Tribolium castaneum: one gene and its partner. The protein of the gene in region 1 purifies or fractionates together with the protein of each later gene. This does not show direct contact. Links are inferred from orthologs where the notes say so. Each region holds a gene or a part of one and is shown on either strand. Other genes may lie near its edges.

Region 1 (10,954 bases):
CATCTCAAAAATTGAAAAATTTTGGCTTGATAGCTCCTTTGGAGTATGGAGAATGCGAATACATGAAGAAATGTGTGGAACACGGCCGGCTAGGGCCCCAAAATGAGCAAAAACCACTTGTAAACAAAAATATGCAAGGGAAAAGTGAGTAAAATCTTCTAAGTAATCAGACCACGCCCTTGGGATCACATTGACGCAGTATTTAAAAAACACGATATACTTGACGAAAAACTGATTTTGATCAAACAGCAACCCCCAAATTAGTGATTAAAGGGAATTTCTTACCTCTGGCATCTTGTACCACGTTTATCCTGAATTTCTCGTGATTACTACGAACAAGCACAACGAAAATTTTTGCAAATCGAACGGCAAGTGTCCTTTGATGTTTGCATAACGTCCGATCCCCGTGGAATCAACCCTTTCAGCGAAAATTTGGCGATTTTAGGGTAAAGTTCATGCAATACCACTGACTGACGCCATTTTGTACAACTACGCCGACGAGTTTTAAATGAAAATCACGTTTAATTACGATCACAAAACTAGCTAGTCCCTTTAGCTTGTTTATAAAACACACTTTTTAGGTTATACTATCACAATTCGCCACTAGATAGGGTTAAGTTAGTTATTATTGATGCCACCATAATTGTATGCGAATGGTGCTCGCAGCCATTTTGACTTTCTATCTGAATCGACAGCGTAGCTAAAAGCGCAAGACGGGGGCAGGGGAGCCAACTGTGCGAACCGAGGGGACCTCGGCGGGCCGCGGAGCGGGCGGGGAAACGTGACACTTCCCTGACGTCACGAGCATGAACTTTATTCGCTATTACCATAAGGTAAGTTTCGCGTAACGTAGTCTATTGCATGAGAATTATTTTCCTACGGCCGTTGTCCAATCAAATCTTGTGAAAACGCGGTATCCGTTTCCGGGACTAGGTGCACAAAATCCAAAATTCGTACCAACAAAATTCTACCAACTCTAACGTAAGAAAAACCCTACATTCGAACGTTCCAGACGGAACTAATGTTGAAATTTTAAAGAAAATATCCAATTCTAACCTAAAAATCGACACGTAGCACCTGTACTAATTGCACAAAAACCTAATCAATTCAGGAATGTTGCACAGACTTTTGGTTCGTCTCGAGCGCGCCAAATTCAATCGGTTTCTGTGCGATTTAAGGTCACTTGTAGACTATTCCGCAAATTGCGTCTCTATTCTAACGTTTTGGTGCACAGTCATGTCCACATGAACGCATTTTCCAAAAGTGGAAACACGACTATGCCGCAGTCTTGCATTCAAAAGCAGTAAAAATCAAAACTTTGCATCAAAAATAATGCAACACAGCATAAGTATAAAAACGTCCAAAAGATATATCAAACGTTGAAAATCTTCTAAAACGTTCAAGACATTTGCAAATTCAAGTACGTTTCTGTATCTAGAGAGCGTTGGAAGTGTCTTTTTAGTCATAGATTAACAACTTTACTGGTCCAGTTAGTAAAAAAATAGTTGTTTTCGAACATTTTAAAACATTCTTCAATTTCTGTTAAAATATCCCAAGTTAGAAAACTTGAAGGGCATTATGTTGCAAAAGTATACCACCAATTAATAAAACAAAACGGACGAAATAGCGTAAACAGTCAGGTCAGGATAACGGTGCATTCAGCTATTTTATAACTACATGGTTAGTTTTCAGATGAACCAAGTTTGAATTAGTGAAATAAGATAATTGTCACTTTTGTTGCGCATACCCGTAACCTTACTTTTAGACGCCGCCATGTTCTCTCTACTTCAATTATTTTTTATTTATGTTGTTACTAAAGTGTAGTTTTTGTTTAGGTCCTGCGTAAGAAGACACGAAAGGAAATGGAAACTCAGCCGGAAAACCGAAAATAATTTTATGTAATGTGTTATCCAAATCATAATAAATAATAAATAAAAACGTAAATCGTGTTTGTAAAATTTAATCCACCCTTCATGTTGTCCAAACCTGGGATCTATCACAAATTGTCGCAATCATATATGCACAATTAAAACTACCTAAATCACATCAAGTTATGTTTGATTAAGCATGAGGCTTCGACTGTTACCATAACACGTTATAAATGCGTAAAAAATTAATACTTGTTTAAAGTTCCTTGAATACTTTTGATATGATTATGCTGTGCCATATGGAAAACATAACCGTTCGCCCGGAATAAAAGAAAAGATCTCACTAAACAAGTTTAGCAAAAACCGTTTCGAATTTTTACTATATGGCATGAAAATCTTTGTACTATAATTTGCTAAACTTGCAATGAACAGTACTAGAACATAGAAGCTAGTGCAAGCCAGATTAATATTCACCAACTAAAAACTATGATATTCTTGGTACTGGGTTGCGAAGTACTAGAACGCTTTCAGCCGATATAATGGGGAGGACGTTCTCGCAGTGGAAGTTGATGAGATGGCTAACACTGTTGAACATCCGATCCCTCGTCCGAATCTATAAAACAAAACAATTAGCTAAAGCCCAGAGAAATCAAAGTCGTACTGACCACTCCTTCAGGATCTATCAACAGGAGATGTTTCTTCGTGTCATCTTGAATCCCCGAAAGCACGAATTGTCCTTCCGAATTCGGCGACTCCCGCACGAGAAAATCCCCATCCTTCTGGAGAAGTCGCTCAGCATCTGCGCGACTGATCTGTCCATGAAACCAAATTTCATGCTGTAATTCCGCTAAGTGTTCTTCAATACTTCTAATCGGTGGTTGGTGATGCGTCGTAAACGGTTCTAAAGTACCAAAAGTCAAAAATTGAACAAGGAAAAATTCAAAGCGACTTACGCATATCAAAAACGTCCCTTTCTTTAATCGTAATACTATCATTAACGTAATCGTGATGTGGCGTATCGAAAACGGAAATGTCGGAATTAAGGTCTATTAAGTTAGGACTTTGGACTGATGGTAGGGTTGTAAATGGTGGCACGACGGAAGGAAGCGGAGGGACAGGTGGAGGACCCACATCGGGAGGTACTTTGCCTGGAAGATCGTTGTAGTAGTCTTTATCGGCGTCGCCACCTGTGGACGTCGACGGCTGGCCCATCGCAAGCCTGGAAACCACCGTCAAAAATACCGCCACATTTAACAAGCAAAAAGTGGTCACAAAAATACCAACTCATACATAATTATCTAAAGAATTGTCAATTCTTCGCGTTTATTAAAAAAAAAAAAAGAAAGACGAAAAGGAAGGTGGCTCCATTTTTTTCCAAACACACATAAGGTAATTCAAAAATAGCAATGTTGAAAATGGGAAAATCCAGATATTAGGAGCATCTTGTGGCCTTTTGTGCAATATGATGTTAATTGCTTGGTCAGAAGCCGCACAATATAGATATTCAGCCCGTCGAACTTTTTACTTAACATAAATAAATTTACAAGGTGCATATTCAATAAGTAAAGACTTACCTATTACAACAACAAAGTTATTAAACGGTTACTAAAACCCACAGCTTCTATCGGTTTTCTCAAAACTTCATTTTTGACTGCTGTTTTTGAATTTAATTTCTAAATCTTAAAACTTATTTTTAACTTTACAAGTCGGGTTACAACCCAAAACTACAAAAAAAACAAGTCAGTTTCATCACATTAAATTTATATAACAACGATCAAGAATGACTTGAGCTGGAGCTGGTAACAGAATAAGAGCATGTCCTTATTCAGTGCTTCTGCTTGCAACCGAATATGGTTTTGTTTAACAAACATTTCATGTTTCATAATACAATTGAATCGTTTATTTCACTTTTCGAATAAGTCGACAATAAACTATTGAAGGGCACAGGGGAAAAACGACTTCAGTCCGTCTCAACTAAAATCACGAACAATCAAATCCAAAGTTTTCTCACGTGGACCCGTAACTTTTTTTCCTTTTTTCCTCAGTAGAGTGTATCTTGTAACACATTTTGCTCTGAACTAAAGTCGTATTTGCTATTTCCCGCCTCAATTATTTGATAGTTTTCTCAAAAACTACAATACTGCAACTCCACATCAATTTCTTAAACAAGTGGACAGGTCGTTTTCCCCTGTCCCTTCAATTTGTTTTAAGAAATACAATACTATAAATTGTGTTATTTGTTTATTGCGGTCGAAATCATTTAAGATAAGAATTTACCACCCATTTCACGATAACAGATTAACAATAATAAGATTTTTTTATAATTTAAGAAATTATGTCATATTAAAGGTTATTTGTTAATCATACTGTCACAATAAAAAAAAATCTAAAAAAATGCAGTTAGTAACTTTCCCATACAAACCAAATTAACAAGAAAAAACATTTCATTATCGGAAAAATATCATGAGAAATTATTTTTTCAACTAAATAATAATAATAATAAAATAAACTTGAATACTGGGTAGTTCTTTGTATACAAGTGCGATATACAGGATGTATGCAAATTGGCGCACAAACTCTTCAGTACGCTATAGCACACGTTCCAACAAACTCTAGAAAAAATAAATAAAAAAATCCCCTTTCACTTATTCTTAGTAGTATAAGGAAGTAAAGTGGAGATTTTTTTCTTAATTTTCTTAAATAATTTTAATCGGTGATAGTATCAAGACAGATACCAAGTTCCTCTACCCTTCAACACATCACAATTATTTATAATAATCTTTAACATGTGTTTTTTATATTCAGACATCTAAAAAATTGATCCGGCAACATAGGAAAAAATCCATAGTTATAATATTGCAACTACTCCACAACAATTAATAGAGGTACGTCGAAAACACTCGAGTACTGACAATGCTGCAAGTTTTACCAAACAATTTTGTGTGAATAAATTCGTTAAAAATGACGATGGATTTTTTATAACATTTTTATAAGATTTTGAAACGTTTTTACAACCTATGCGCTTATGCGCTATTTTGTATACACGCTGCATATAAACTAATAAATATCATTGATATTTGTGATATTTATGGCGATATTTTATCAAGCATGCCAACCCTAGTTTGAAGTGCTAAAATTTCAGGAACCGGAACCATTTAAAAATAAAATTTAATATTTACTGTAAAAAGAAAGTTGGTAAAATAATATCAACTACCTATAGATTTTGCTGACATATCAAAGATGACCAAAGATTCTAACAAAGCAATAGGAGTGTCATGAAGTCAGATTAGGTGATCACGTGAAGAAAATGGACCAATCCGATGCTCAGGTTCACGGGACAATCACGAGTTAACTTTTTAGCGGCCTTAATAGGTTTAACATTATGATCAACATTACTGCCAATAAATAGCAAGAAATAGGTCTGTTTTGACAACACATCTGTTAAAAAAGTAACACGACGCTCTTAAAATAGATAAACGATACCAAAATTAACAAGTCTTGTATTTTTTGTCTCTGGTCACAGGTCAGATTAATTAGAGTGTTATTTGGTGTTTCAATACGTGTAGTATCATTTTTTATATTTCGCGTGTCGTATTTTAAACCTTTAGACTTCTAAAAGTGACTACTAGTTTTTATGTACATATAACGTAAAAACTGCCTTCATTATGCCAGTTATTAAACATATTTTAACTCAAAAAATACTAGTATACTCATGTTATACAATATGGAGCCACCATAAATAACAATTAATTTAATTAGCGCAGTAAACGTAAAAATGAGTTTTAACATGGAATGAAAGTCGCCATGTTGTACAACATTACGTCCTTGAAACAGGCGTAATTTTGTGTGTATTGATTTTGTTCCAAAGTGTTATTAATGCGACCACAACAATAATGTTATTACAAAAGAATAAATTACCCGATTTGTGCTGGTTTCATGTATTGTTTGAACCTCAGTTCGAAAGCTTGCCCTATGGTTGCTATAACATCTTTGGCTAACCCACCCCCACATTCTAGAACATAGCAGGCTCTAAAGTCGTTGATGTCTTTCGCAATGTAACCAACAAAGTCCATAGTGTCCTACAAGCTATCTGGTTACATAATATAAGAGATGAAGGCTTTTCCAACTTACAATATCGCCCCCTGAAGCAAACGAGATGTGGGGCATGTCATGACACGCAATGACTTTATTGTCATCTAGCGAAGTTAAAGATAGGTTCGAACTTGATACATTTAGACTAACGTTCGCCCCTGCGTGGGTCATATTAGGAACTTCAGCAATGGCTTTTAAGACTTTCTTGTCGACTTTTCGTTTCTTATCGGCCGTTTTTAACCCGGCGGCCTCACAGACCTTATTTATACATTCTCTAAAGCGGAACTGGTGATTTTGGGGGTTTGGGGGCCGAGAGTACTTACTTGGCAACAGTCGACCGGGTTTTGAAATTGAGGATTTTCATGGAGACTTTCACCTCCAGACATCCAACATACTGGAAAGAAGAAAATTCGTATATAGGGTGTGACTGTTACATGGAGGCACGGCAAAATCGATATTGCGGTTCTACATGGCTCGCAAATTGGATTTTTGACTCTTACCCTAACTGCATAAGTCGCCCCTTGCTTCGAAATTAGTTTATCGGAGTGAATCCACCCACCCAGTGGCTTGCTAATAAACGTCGACATTTTCGCTGCGAATTCCTGCGATAAGATGGGTGTGAACCTGCCTGACTAGTTCTTTTCCACCGGTTTTTCTCGCTGCAGCGAGGAAAATCGACGATTTTTCACAAGAAAACTTGCCAATTCACCCAATATGACGTCTACGTCGAGAAGCATCGGTTTCCACGGCCAACTACGCAGTACGCACTAATTCCTCACATTTAACTTACTAAACTAGTATCACAATTTTTTCATTATTTCGATGCAAACGAGGGGATTTTCGCATTTCTAGAGGCGCACATAGCAACAGAAATTCAAAAATAAGTCGACTTTGGGGAGGACATGCTACGCTTGCAGGCTCACATTGCACACCCGCCTCATTTTGCTTTTGTTTTCTAACCGTTTACGTCATGAACATGGCTCACTTCGCCGATATTAATATTTAGAAGGGGATGGAATCAGCACTGCGCAACTCGGACCGATCACACCCGAACGCGCCCGATCTGATAAACAGGAATCCCCAAAATGGGAGCGTTTTTTAAATAAAAAAGGTCAAAATATAAATAGCATTTTACGTCATAACACTTTCGATAACAGCCCAACACCTCATTTTGTCCAAGTTTCTTGAAAAAAAATCTACCAAATAGACTTTTTTCAAAAACATTTTCGATGTGTAAAGTTTCCAGAGTAGCAACAACGCCTCATTAATTTCATGACAATCGTATTGCCCCCTTTCAATGGGCCTCTTCTCGTCAGGAATCAAGAAAAAATTATAAATTATAATGATGAATTTTGCATTTGATTTGAATGATAGACCATCTCAAAGTCAAAAGAGCAATGCCCGGATGGTGTGTAAAGGGCAATTAGATATAAATACACTTCAATTTGTTGCTTTGGTACTGTTCAAAATTTTTACCTACCCGCCGGATACGAGGGATTAAAAAGCAATTTTGAAAAATTTTAATTTGTCAAATGTTGAGTTTTGTGAGAGAATCTTGGGAAACAATTAAAACAATTGATTTAAACAAATCAATCTTTATCAAAAACAAATCGATCCACAATTTTTGAACCCAAGTGTAATAAAAAACTTGAAATTTTCTTAGAAAAGAGCGAAATTCTAGATGGTTTGGCCGACATTTAGAAAATAATCAAACAATTTTTTTCAATTTTATTCAATTTGAAACAATTTTTTGTTCAGTTGGGAACGCCGCTTGATTGGTCTGCTTTACAGTTGGGAGTGCATTACCCCTCCCATATCCAATGACAAACGCTTCAATCGTCTTGCAATTTTTTGTGCACCTGATAAACAAGTAGGAGGTGATTTTAATATTTTTATTGGTCAATTACGCATTTCTGGGACAAATCAGGAAATGAGAACCGGTTAAGGGCCGGTCTTTCTCACAGAATGCGCTTTCGCCTTGGGTGCCAATAAAATGGTCAATTCTGCTTAGTTTTTAAAATAATTCAATTTTTTATAATTTTTATAATTTATTTTATATTTAATTTATATAATTTTTATAATTTTCAAAATCAAAAAATAATTTAATTTAGAACCAGAGTATGTACATTTTCAAAAATTAAAAGTACAAACACTGACAAAGGTACTTTAACGCTGAGAAACTATAAACACAAAAAACTAAAAAATATAATTGAGACTAAAATTCTGAAGAACTAAGCGGCTGAAAAATTAAGAAGCTGAAAAAAATCTCTGGAAAACAGTTCAAATTGTTATCGACCTTTCAGATTGAGTACCGTTATAGTTACTTTTGTAAAGAGTAAAAATAAGTTATATATTTTTTTACTTCAATATAGCAGTCAATAACTTTAATTTCCTTCAAAAAATAATGAAGTAATTGAAAGAGAAAGAAGACAGCTGGAGAATGGACATCGGAGAGAAAGGCTTTTAATAATTGTGGTGCTTCAGGTACTCTACCACTTGGCTTTGAAATGATTATGGCCAAACTGTTTGAGATAACTGTGAGTGCACTAAGTATACAGGTGAATAATACTTCTTGAACAGTCAGTTATTGCAAATTCATTAAACTCTGATTGAAGCATCAGTAATCGGTTTACCATTGCCAATATTCTGAAAATCAATCATTCGTGATAGAACTGGAGTTGTAATTACAGCGACAAAGTAAATTAGCCATCCTACAATTCTGTAGATAATCTAAATCTCAATTTACATGGCTTATGCCATATGTATGATAGAGCAATATTTTAGTGACATTAGAAAATAGAACAGAGATTTGACTTGATTTGATGACGATGTTTTTTTAAACAACTTTCGAAGTGCAGGCTCTGCGGCTAAAGTAATTAAAATAATTTGAATATTCGTGTATTTTAAGTGCAGTTTAGCTTTTTGCAATCGAGTTGACCATAAGTGGCAGTTTTTGCTAAAAATTATCCCGCGTTCTGTGGTGCTTTTTGAATTTTAATTAAGCCACTACGTCCTAATTAAATGTGAACAAACCCCAACAATAGGTGTGCAGCTAGAGATAATTAAATGAAACATTTGTTTTTCTTTCTTTGATGACGAGAACATCTGCATGAATTGCTTCAATGTCACAGTTTAAAAAGAGTATCCTTAGGAGGATGTGTTTTGTTTGAAATGTTTGTAAAACAAGCTCAAAGACTGTCAAAAATAAACACATAAAAGGAGAGTTAAATGCTGCAGTCGCAGTAAAAATGTTTCAAATTATTAGTAAATTTGGATTGATTTACACGGCCGAGGCATTTATTTTTATGGCTGCTGTGTTGCGTTTTGCTACACGCTGTATATGGGTTGTGTAAATGTAATTTCTCTTTCAAAGCAAACTAATAGAATCATGTCAATAAATGCCAGATCCAGGCGGAATAACAAATAAAATTGTTAAATTGACAGAATAATCGGTTAGCTAATCATCATTGATGTGAAATAATAATACGAGAACGCAACGGCCATTAACATTATTCACGCAGACATGTTTGCAATTAACGAATTAACAAATCAATAAAGGATTTAAAAAGGTACGAGTGTATGAGCACGGATATGCGAAGGAATAATTCAAAAAGTAACAAGGACGGTAATTTAGGATTAAAAGTGGAAGGATATACAGAAAGCGATTTTAAATAATAAAAATGCGCCATTTGATGCGAAACGTCGACAGAAAAATTGTGTGTTTAATATTCGGCCTGTCATTATTTCCATCATACATTCAAATAAAATAAGCTTTGGTGAGTTTTTATTTTGCAAGTTTCATTTTTCTTCGAGATTCCGTAAACGTCCAGTATTTTTATCGAATCAAGAAATTCTAGTTCGGAGCCAACTGTTTTTGCCAGCAAAACTTTTCACGTGAGAAAAAATACGCATCGGTTGCATTGGTTAGTTGCAGGATTAAGGGTTTCGTGCTAGGAGAAAAATTGCAAGCAAGTGTATTATTATTTACGGATCCCTTGAAGCTTCAGCTATACATATTAAATGAAGCGAAGTACAATCAATAACATCAACATCGTGCAAAAACGGGGTATAAACAATGAGGTTAAATTTTCAGCTCTATGAACAGACGTCTTTTTGGGTTGTTACTAATAACGACAAAAAGTTTGCTTGGCTCTTGCAGCCATTAATGTAATCCATTAACTCCAACCCTGAATTATAAGCCCGTTAAGCACAACAACACTACTTTAACGGTAAAAATCGGCCCCGTGAATCTTCCCCTTTTTTAAAAATAAAAAAATAAATTACTTTTGCGAAAAAAATCCGGGGGTAAATAGAATTTGCGTCAAATTTTCCACAAGAATAGGAGTTCCACACCAAAGAAATACTGTCACATGAGCACGCACATTGTCTCGTTAAAAATTTATTTCTTTACACGTCACTTGAGGCGAGGCTTTAGGACTATGTAGTGTCCCAACGGTGTGACGATGGAATATTGTGGCTGCCATTAGAGTCATCAAAAATTTAATAAAAGAATATTGTCACTTCTTTTAGAATTATTTTTATTTCGGGATCATTCCCATTCAAGGAAGGGAAACGGCGCGTTTGAATTTCCCCATCATGTCACAGAAGCGCGACAATTAATATTTGCTGTTACTTTTCTTTCCTCCAAAAGTTGGAGTTTGCGTCTAATTGATGATATGCTATTTTTTCGATTGATTTCAGGTAAAAAACAAAAATTGAACTGAACGTAGCGTGCTCTCATTAGAGCCAACGAGACTAAAGATGCTAAAAATGGATTATTTTATCGTTTTATTCAGTTTTAATTAATAGACTTGCACGGTTTAGCTTTACACAATTCACGATTTGAGAAGTTGAATGGTTTAGTGTTGGCGGGCGAAAATAAAAAACAATTATGAAATATTGAAGTGTTCGTAGCCAATTATCCGTCGTTCGATGGAGGATTTAATGCTTAATTTAGGAAAATTACAAGTTTAGTGAAGTTGGAATTGAATCAG
Region 2 (10,896 bases), on another chromosome or scaffold:
TTCACTTGTTAACTTACAATAATTCCTGAACTTTGAAGCCTAATAAAAATGCGAAAATGTCTACTAATTTAGTTTTATTTGTCAGGCGGGCAAAGTTTACTTACAAGTATTTTATTACCACACAAAAACTTGATACTTAATATGAGAATTGGGAAACTATTTCGTGTAGCGTTTTGATCAAAGTGGCATGTGACTATGTAACTATTTCTCCTGGTTTTAAGCTACATTTAATTTCTCTACACATACAGGATCTTTAATCTTGTATAGTTTTTAATTCACATATACAGTCACGAACAAAAAAAATGACACTCCGACCAACCGGATCGGATATTAAAAGTGTTATTCTTGTTGATCGGGACTGTACATACATTACTGCATTTTTGGATTACTCGAGTTATTTTAAGGGAATTTAAGGAAAAATTTAGTCGTTTTCAGAATATGTAGAATTTTTGAAAAATTTTGGATTTGCATCTTTGCATGCATTTTCTACAAATCAGTTATCGGCCAATAACTCCGAAATTATCAGTCATAATCCCATTCAATTAGTACCGTTAAAAAGTGTTCTTAATTATCTACACTTGAAAAAAAAGATCATTGTCCTACGATTCATAGTCATCCAAAAAATTGCCAATAAATGCAATAATACGCAAAACCTAGTTTTGTTAATAACTTGAAAACTATTCAGAATTTTGCAGTTTTCTCGAGGTCAATCGATTCCACGGATCATTTTACGTGCACGTAGTTGAAAATATCTCCATTTTGTCGAATAGTTTTACCATAATTTGATAAAATGTAGCGTGCCGATTACAACGAAACTGAACCGCCGTAATCGGCGTCTAAATTTTTTATACATTTTGATAAGGGTTTCCATGGTGGCGTAGTTTTGCGTCATTCTTGTTGATGGTCACTGTACATTCGTTACTGCATTTTTGGAATACTCGAGTTATTTTTAGGGAGTTTTTATCAACTTTCCCTATATCCAAATTGTCGTTTTCGAAATATATACAATTTTTTAGGCATATTTTTAGAGAAGGCTTAGTCCTTTTCTTTGGTGATTTCAAATTTATAAAAAATTTAGCAAATCCCGAATTTTTAAGATTAAGTTTGCAGAACTTTAAACACCCATAAGTAAAAATTTTCAAATGAAATGCCACAATTTTTATTTGATCAAATGATAAGAGAATTTAATTTTGCGTCAATTTGTATTAATATTACCTATACTTCCGTTTACTTTTCAAGACACACGAACATTTTATTGACATTCATTAATTCATTAGCTCTTTTCGCATAGGTTGCCATGGAAACGTAAGTAAAAAATATAGCAAATCAAAGTTTTTGAAATCTAAATTCAGTGAATTTATTTTATTTTAAAGAAAGCAAAGCAAAATTTTAAACAGAACTTATCGTTTATTCAGTGATAAATGTTTCTTTGCCAAACTCTGGCTAGTAAAAAATTTTCGGAAATGTCAAAGAAAACCAACGAATCTTGAAAATCATTACAGGTAGGTATAGGGAATGTCAATACAGATCTTTGTAAAATTAAACTTCCACTTAGTGATTCAATTTTTTGAAAAAAATTACTTATAGCTTTTAGAAGACGTCCAAAAAAAAGTTTTTGGAATTTCGAAACATTTTTTTTTCAATTTTAAGCACACTGAAGGAAACACAAGGGCTTTCTTTTATGATTGTTCAAAAACTATTTTCAAAATTCTAAAAATGGCAAAATTACCGATTTTTGAAGTGAAAGGTGCAATCCAAAAATTTTCAAAAAATCCGGAAAATTTCGAAAATGGCTAAATTTAAGTATAGGGAAAGCTCATGAAAATCTTCTTGAAGTAACTCGAAAAATTCAAAATCGCAGTCAAAAACATAGCTCTTTCAAAAAAAAGACGAACTTTCAATAATTTTATTATAAAGCTCAACAGTTTTTATGCACAAACTTTTATTTATTTACGTCCAAAAATTGTTAAAAAATGTGAAAGCAACATTTTGAATACAAAATCTTCGTGTCGATGCTCGAATCCAATTACGGCATGATTAATATTCTTGCCTTATTAGTTGTGCTTAATTGATCCAATTTGGAGTATTTTTTCTTTAATAATACGGCTTCTTATTGAAAGAAAGCCTTGTCTAGACCCTGTCGAATTCCTCGCCGGCTGCAGCACTGTCAAGAAAGCACGCTGCAGTCACTCAATTGACCCCCGACCTCTCTGGCCCTTGGCCCCACCAACTCTGATACATTTACAAAACTCAGTCGAATATTTTCAAACTGGAAACTCCGGAAATCTCATTCGCAGCCGGAAACCGTCCCTAATTAAGCGCATTTTTCGGACAGGTGTTCACTGACTGAAGGAAATTTGTCGATACAGAATGACAGATGTATATGATTTTTTTACTTCAAGTAATCTATAATTTATTTTGTTGTAATTCAGCGGAAATTGCGATTGCTTTTTGCACGTCAGCTTTTGATTTGCAGTCTTGGCAAATTGTGTGCAGTGTCATCGGTTTTGATGCCTTGGGTGACCTCCACAATTAATAAAATATCGAGGGAAATTTAAATTTTGCCGCACAGTATTGTATTGTTCACTTTTGAGCCAATCAAAATCGAAAAAGCAAAAGTCATCGTAGCGCAGTAGTCGAGTGACTTTGCGATTATTCTAACGGATCTAATTTCTTACACGTTCCAAATTCGCATCAGTCATTGTTTTCCCACCTTAGTTCAGGCGCTCTAATTGCGTATATCCTTACAAAAAGAAAAACAGTTAAAAGGAAATATTCATAATACTTGTTATAAACATGTCGTCAACAGTTTTCACAACACATGCATTATCGCACGTTTCGCAGAAAAATAGCAGAAATAGGTAAACTTTATTGCAAATCAAAGAAAATGGGGAACAATTTTAAATTTTACAATTCTCAATAAATAAACAATTTTCAAGAGTTTTTAATGATAATCACCCCAATAGTTAAAACAGAATAAAAAAACAGTGTTAACGATTTTAGTGGAAAAAACTGAAAAAAAAATCAAATTCAATGAACTTTAAAAATATTCATGAAAACAAACAAATGTCCTCTTTACCGACTATGGCAATTACCATTTTATTAAAAGTAGTTTCCATAAATGGAATATAATGTTCCTGGAAATGCTCTGCCGAATTTCTTGGCGCCGGACTATAAATATTTTGTTAAGTATAAAAGGAAAAATTGTAAAGTCCTTATAATCAATCATTTAATTAGTTTTTTTGTTTACTTTATGTTATATTTTCTTTTATAGTTTAAGTTGGAAGTCGAGCAATTTTTTATAGACAGTCACTTGCCCATACTGTGATTTAGGAGATTTGTCTTATCAAAATACTTCTAGTACTTAGTCTAGTCGAGAAAATCATCAAAAAATGCTGGTCAATAGACAGACAAAAATAAAGCTTTTACTCCTAACAAAACTTTATTATATTATTTTCTGGTATAATTGAAAAAAAGTGAAGAAAATGTCTTTCAAAATTTAGAGAGATAAATTGGTCACCCATTTGTCTATAGAGGGTGGGTCTTAACTTATACATTAGGAAACTTAGAGAATAATTGTTTTTGCCAAATAATAACAAAAAAAGTGGTAGTAAAGGTTTTTTAGTTACCGGAATATTGTCCAAGAAAAACATTACTAAAATTTTAATTTCTTAGAATAATAACTAGACTATCATAATTATCCCGGTACTACATAGCTACCTCCAAATAATTAAAAAAAAGTTATGCTCAATAACAAGTAAAACGCATTATATATAGATGAAATAAAAATGTTTTCTTCATGTGAATACATAATTCAAAAAATTTAAAAACAATTAAAACAGAAAAAAAAATTAAAAAATTCTTAGAATAATAAGACTATCATAGTTAATACTGGTACTACAGAAAATACCTCCAGAAAATAAAAAAAAAGTTATGATAAACAAAAAGTAAAACGCACTGTATATAGGTGAAATAAATAAAAAGAATAAATAAAAATAAATAATAAAAAATAATAAAATAAATAAATAAATAAATAAAAATAAAAAATAAGAAATAAAAGTTTTTTCTTCATGTGAATACCTAATACGAAAAATTTTAGACCAATTAAAACAGAAAAAACTAAAAAAAACAGAAAAAACAAAAACCTTCAAGTACTAACTGCTCAATGATTTCTAAACAATTTTCACACGTTTCTACTCGTATTCAAGTAACTTTGAACAAGTTTTTGATTTTAGATATTTTTTCCCATAAAAAATAAATTTTTTTTCTAAACTTATTTTCCATTTTCACACGTTTCTGCTGGTATTCAAGTAACTTTGAACAAGTTTCTGATTTTTGATATTTTATCCCACAAAAAATAAGTTTTTTTTCCAAACTTATTTTCCATTTTCACACAATTCTGCTCGTATTCAAGTAACTTTGAACAAGTTTTTGATTTTTGATAGTTTTTCCCACAAAAAATAAGTTTATTTTCCATTTTCACACGTTTCTGCTGGTATTCAAGTAACTTTGAACAAGTTTCTGATTTTTGATATTTTTTCCCACAAAAAATTAGTTTTTTTTCCAAACTTTTTGGATTATTTCCATAAAAAAATTATTCTTTTTCTTATTTTCATTAAGGTCCTTAATGAGCGTAATTCATAACCGATGCCTTAACTTTTTTTTGTTACGATCGAATGTAGAGTTTTAAAGAAATTTAGAAAAAAATCTGATGTAAAAAATTTTGGAAGCGCTTCACAATGTGGCAATTTATAAGGTTGTAGGACAATAAATAACAATTCTATTTTTTTCACATTTATTATGGTCCGTAAAATAATAGATACCGAATTTTCCATGGCAAGATCGTCTTTAAAATGTCCCAAAAGACTGAGTTTTGCATACAGAGTTGAGCAAAAGTATGGAACTTTCATAATTATTTAAAAAAAAACATTGGTGTAAAAATAAAATTTTGATTTTTTTTTATAATAACCCAAAAAAAATTGTACTTTAAACATAACCCCATTTTCAAGTCCTTCATGAGGTACTAAGAGGTTTTTTCGTAAGGTACATAGTTAGGCACAGAATGCTTGGTTCCATACATTTGTCCAACTATAAAAATTAAAGGAAAAACTGACCTGGTACTGGAGAAAAGGAAAGAAAACAGGATCTGGCACAGGAGTGGTGAAATGAAATCGGTAAATCGTCGTTACCAAAAGTTTTTGATTGTCACCATACGAATAATTAGTGTTAAGGCTGTTAATTTTAACAACACAATCACAAACACAAGGAAACATCACAAAAATAAAAAGCACATCACGACCACACAGTCTAGCGTCTCAGTGTCACTATTATGGCGGTCTTTTTATCCAGAGCTGCCAACCTTGTCACACAAAGTTCCTGAGTGAGGGTGCGAATTTCGAATTAGTCATTATTTTTTAATTCACTAGTAATTACAACTGAAAACATATCTGGATGTACCTAATGCAGAAAAAACTAATAGGTAATTCAAGCCTCATTAGAGCCGATTTTTTTCTGATTAAAGCCATAAATTTTGAAATCAAGTTGGCAACATTAACGCAAAAACGGAAAAAAGATAAATAATGTGGCCAACTTAACTTCAAGCCAACGTCCCGAAAAATTAGTTTTAATTGGAGTAATTAAAGCCCTCAAAATTTCACCCTCCACTTGACCTGAATCCGAAATTTTTGAACAAAGAGTGATGGATCGACGTTTCAAAAAAGTGACACTTGAAAGCATCAGTTGGAATGCGGCTCTCCTTTTAAACGGTCCCAAGTGGTCTTGAGACCTCTGTAAGCGATTTCCAAAGAAGCGCGCAATAAACAAACATTATTCCAAAGCAATAAATAAATAAAAAAATTAAAGACAGCTCATCAGAGAGACGCACTCACCTCTAACCCCCATGTCCACATTACACCCTCCAAAGCCAGCCATGGCCAGGATAATCCCCAGGAGAAAAATATCCATTTTGAGAAAAACAAAACCAAAATTCCAGAAAAAAAAAAACACTGCTCACAGCATCACAACACTGCACTAAGTCATCATCCGAGTGTCATGGGAAAAAACAAAATAAGTACGACAACCTGTTGCACAACTCGAAGCAACAACAACACCACCTCTCGACGACTCGATTTCGAATGACAACAATTGAACGTCGCGCTTCTCGAGCCCGGAGCGACCGGAGGCGAAGACGGCCGAAGTGTCACAGGTAGATTAGTGACCTTGTGAGCAACAGGTAAGAGAGAGATGGGGCTATTGTGCTCCTTGCGTAGAAGAATGTTGATCTGTATTATTGTTGGGAAAAGATGAAAAAGCCATGGTAGAGTCGACCAATGGGTGGGTCGAGCTGGGGGTCAGGGGAGATGGTAGCGAGTCCGATGGGTCGATGGGTTTACGTAATGCGGTAGCGCGTCTATCATTCTGGTTTGAGAATTTTTAATTGCGGTGGTGTTGGAGGGATTGCGTTTTTTTTGGATTAATTTGATGGTAGATCAATGAACTTATGAATGAGCTGGGACGAGATGGTCAATGTGGAACTGGAAATTTATTAGCGCAATTAGCGGTTGTTGGAGTTTTTTGAATGGAGACGCGTTGGTTGTGCGTCAGGTGAAGCATAATTTATTGCTACATTGACGGCTTCAAGTTATGACTATTTTGAACGAACCAAAGTTCCATAGGAAAATGACTTTTTTATTTTGGTGGGTTCTTACTGAACAACAGAAAAGTGGCCATAGTTGGAACATATTACACAGACTTGGTCCAAAATATTTCAGTTTTGTCTCACCATTTGGCCGTAGTTTAGAAAAAAAAACTTTCCAACAGTTAAATAATTTATGTGATTTTGACATATTTTTTTCTTTTTTCAGCCTCTTTTTTAAACAAACTTTCTTAACACGCATTTTTCGAGAGCTTTTCTTACAACTCGAAATAAATTGGAACTGAACAAAAAACTGTTGTTTGATTATTTTGGAAATCTCGGCCATATCATCTGAAATTTTTCTGTTTTCTAAGAAAATTTCTAGTTTTCTATTAGACTGGGCTTCAAAAATCGTGGATAAACTGTCGATCGATTTGTCTTTGATACATTCCAATTCGAAAATTGTGTCAAAACTTAAATATTTTGGCAAAAACTCAATTTCATCGCGAGATTCTCTCACAAAACTCAAAAATGTACCAAACTTGATCAAAAATCTTTATATCTTTTTATGATCTTTAAGAAGCAAAAACAAAAAATAGGGTGTTTCATTTAAATTTTTCAAGTTTTTTAACAAACTTGCAATTTTTTAGTTTTTTTCTACATTAAGTTCCTTATGCTTGCTATCGTTAGGAAATACTTTCACTTGTGATTATGAGTAAAAAGTAACAAAAGTAATTAGGTAATAATTATTACATATTGAAAAGTTATCGAATTCGAAATTCGCGCCCTCTTATGGAAAGGTAAGGTTGGCAACGCTGGAAGAAAAAACCGCCAAACTAGTGACACTGACGCTAGACTGGTTGTGTTGTGCCCTTTAATTTGTGTTTTTTCCGTGTGTTTGTTCCCATCCGTGTGATTGTGATATTAAAATTAAAAGCCCGAACACTAATTATTGTGACAATCAGTGCCCGAATGTGCAAAAAGATTTACCGATTTCACCACCTCCTGTGCCAGATCCTGCTTTCTTCGGTACCAGGTCAGTTTTTCCTTTTTATAAAACGCCAAATAAGAGAAACCAGTGCAACAATCGATTTTTAGTAAATGTTAATTGAACGCAAAGCCACTGGAATTGGGAACAAACATAACCTTCACCTAACACCTTAAAACTTTTAATAAAGTATCACTTTGCTGGTTCTGGATTAACAATAGGCCAAAAAGTAGCATTAGCAGTACTAGCACTTTTCAAAATTCATGGTATTGTTAAAGTCGTCTCGAAAGTGATTGAAATAGTCCACAAAGTATACAAGCGTGTAACGTTGGTTGCATAATATTTTAAACTTTTGTGACACAAAATTCAATCTTACTTACACATTTATACACTTAACAGACGTTTTTAAATTTGCCCAAGGCAGCTTCTGTTAACTTTTTCGAAAATAAATCAAAAAATGCTAACTTTTTAGGCTCTTTGACAAAGTCAGCTGAATATGTTCTTTCATAAAAATTCGTTGATGAGTGTGCATATTTAAACCTTTTTCTTTGAATTATGAACCTTGTGCATCGGTGACACCAATAAATTTATACTTTTGTCAGCAAATGGCTGCGATATGAACTTCCAGTCGGATACAAATGCAAAACATTACGTTGTTTAAATGCAAATGATCCGAATAAAGCTTCTCCATTTGTATTAATGTCATTTGGGAAACAGAAATTTTCATACAAAGGACAAACCGTCTGTTTCCTGAACCCGCTGACCTCTTCCTCCGGTTTTAGACAATTTATTAAAATTAATAACAGCTTAACGTAAACCTTTAAACCTAACAGCAGTAATTTATAGAAATTTTTTGTGGTTTTTTGGGTGAATTTTTTAAGTCGACTTTCTTGGGCTCCCCAGATGTCTTTTGCAGCGCGATGTTTTTAAATGTTTCTGCTGACATTTATTTCCTGTTTCAAATTTTTCTTTTCAGCTTTCAGTTAATGTACTTCGTGAAATGTACTAGGAATAGTCAGTGTAGTGTAGTTTGTTGACTACTGATTAAATTTGTTTTTTTTATTGGTAATCTATTTTTCTTATGTAATGCTCGCAGCAGCGTGTATAAATCCAACTTTCAAACACGCGCGTTTTTTAAAGTATCCGTGGCAACATCAATAACCCAAGAAACGTGAAGTATAAATGGCGTTTTTTAATGAGTTTTTATTATAATGACCATCAATTCCATGACAACGAAAGGTAGAATTTTTGTAATATTAATATTAGTATTTATGATTTCAAAGGGTACTAATAAAAAAAAACGTAAATTATTCGTCGATAACTTGCTCTATTTGGAGCACTCCGGTTACGCCGTCGTGCTCGAAAAATCGTGCGTGTCTTAAAGACCTCCATATCCACTTAAAGTTTAATATATTATTTTAACTACTTTTCAAAGCTTGATACATATTAAAAAAATATTGTATCCACAGTTCATTAAAAGTCGAGCATTTTTTTTTGGTTGAATAAATAAAGCCACAAGCAACGTTTTAAACATTTTATTAAAATTAAATAGTGCTTAACTTAAACCATTAACAAAGTGAGGCACAATACGATTATTCATCACATTTCAAAACATAAAACTACATCGCAACAATATAAAAACCGAACAGCATCCAACGACACCGATCTTATCTTACATAACCTTACGAAATGATAAGAACTGCTTGTTCGTGAGGGGTTCTCCTTAAAATTCATTAAATAGTAGGCTTTCTATCAACAGGTAAAGCTCCACCTACAGCTATTTTTCTTAAATACGTAATCGTCAACTAATCACAACAGAAACTCAAAACACTGTTGTTAGGTCCTAGTTAAGCGCACCTAGTCGATATGGCGTGATAGAATTTCGTTGCGGGCCTAAATAACTCAATCTGGGCCTAGATATGTGCTTCAGAAGGGCAGTGGCCAACGAAACGTCTGTATTGAAATTTATCACAACTCACGCCCCCTATGACCGAAAATTTAAGCTCATTTTTCTTATAGTTTCCTGTTATACCGACTGTCGCCGCCATTTTCAAACCTAACTTTATATATCTCTTAAAAAATAATCGATTCTAGTCTAGTTTAGCGCCTATTTTCGAAAACATCACATGCTTAATGCGTCCCGCTTGATATACAGGGGGATTCCTCGAAGCGTCCGCCAGCTTCCCGCCCGACAAATCCTCCATAAATTCCAATACAGCTCAAATAAGTGTGTGTATATGTGTTGATAGTGTGATTGTGTGAGCAGTGGCGGCGGTTATTATTATTATTAATTTAACAGACGACAGCCGATATCGGATTTTCGGTGATATGGATGACATTCATTGGCCATTGTCCGCCATTAGGCATTTTCGATTTGAGCAGTTCTTCCAGCGACGTTTTGCGGAAAAGAGCCATTTTTGTGGGAGACAGGGGCGCCACTGTAAACACAAAACATCAAACTGGCGAACGGGGCGACATCTCCGCGCCAAATCAGAAATGTCAGTGCAACCCTTCAGATCTGTGTGTGTTTGGTAGTGTCAAGTGCCAAAATAAGAAAATACGACAAGCAGACGCATGCACCAAGCGAAATTAATCAAGGAAAAACAACTCCCACATACAGGGTATTGCAAAAAACATAAAACAGTTTTTGGTCCTTCGAGCCGGATATAAAACCCTGTATTCGGCCGTCATTTTTAAATATACAGAGACACACACACGACTCACAAGACACGACAGATGAAGATCATGCCACTGCCACCTATGAAACTACGAAAAAAATAAACTCGCATCATCATCAAGACAACGTTGGTTAGTTCCGTGTAAGTACAGGATGTCCGAATCTAACCGCACGAAAAAGTATTGTGGATACTTGGTTAAGCAAGTCCATGTTTTACTCCTTTGTTCGGTTATTAATTGGAACAGCCTGTATTAAGTATAACTTGTTTATTTATATACAGTGTTCTCGTGTGAACGCAACTTACGTGTCAATTTTCGGGATTTTTTCGGGCCGAACGACAGGCCAGGCTTTAAAAAGTTTTACCTTCTATTGACACGCTGCTACTGGCCCGTCGGCGCACTTGCACGGCTAAAACAACACGACATAGCGATGATAAGAGTCAAGTAGGCTAGAAATCAAACAAAATGGCGCCCCGACGACTGCTAACAAAAAATCAACACATACTAGATGAATTTATTCAAATAAATAAATACACAAAGGGGTGAAAGCACAACACAAAATTTTTAATACTATGTTTAGCAAGGGGCGGGGCACTTG

Evidence for each region. Proteins that work in one complex are often made in the same cells at the same time.
Region 2: the proteins of Shc (region 1) and Egfr purify together in Drosophila melanogaster (affinity purification with western blotting; 3 studies listed by BioGRID). This does not show direct contact. The link is inferred for Tribolium castaneum from reciprocal best matches to the Drosophila melanogaster genes Shc and Egfr.

What each region holds. Positions count from the first base shown.
Region 1 is NC_087403.1:6,524,899-6,535,852, reverse strand, and holds the start of Shc (SHC-transforming protein 1), read right to left. Parts: upstream 6,965-10,954; 5' UTR 6,548-6,964; coding exon 6,461-6,547; intron 6,355-6,460; coding exon 6,284-6,354; intron 6,235-6,283; coding exon 6,000-6,234; intron 5,948-5,999; coding exon 5,787-5,947; intron 3,088-5,786; coding exon 2,822-3,087; intron 2,770-2,821; coding exon 2,534-2,769; intron 2,482-2,533; coding exon 2,353-2,481; 3' UTR 295-2,352; coding exon of another isoform or gene 286-294; 3' UTR 1-285. Other genes in the region: Chd1 (chromodomain-helicase-DNA-binding protein 1), read right to left, coding at 286-294.
Region 2 is NC_087394.1:3,577,415-3,588,310, reverse strand, and holds the start of Egfr (epidermal growth factor receptor), read right to left. Parts: upstream 6,151-10,896; 5' UTR 5,965-6,150; coding exon of another isoform or gene 5,889-5,964; intron 1-5,888. Other genes in the region: MESK2 (protein NDRG3), read right to left, coding at 9,915-10,060. UniProt on the Drosophila melanogaster protein: Receptor tyrosine kinase, binding ligands of the EGF family and activating several signaling cascades to convert extracellular cues into appropriate cellular responses. Known ligands include spitz, gurken, vein and giant-lens.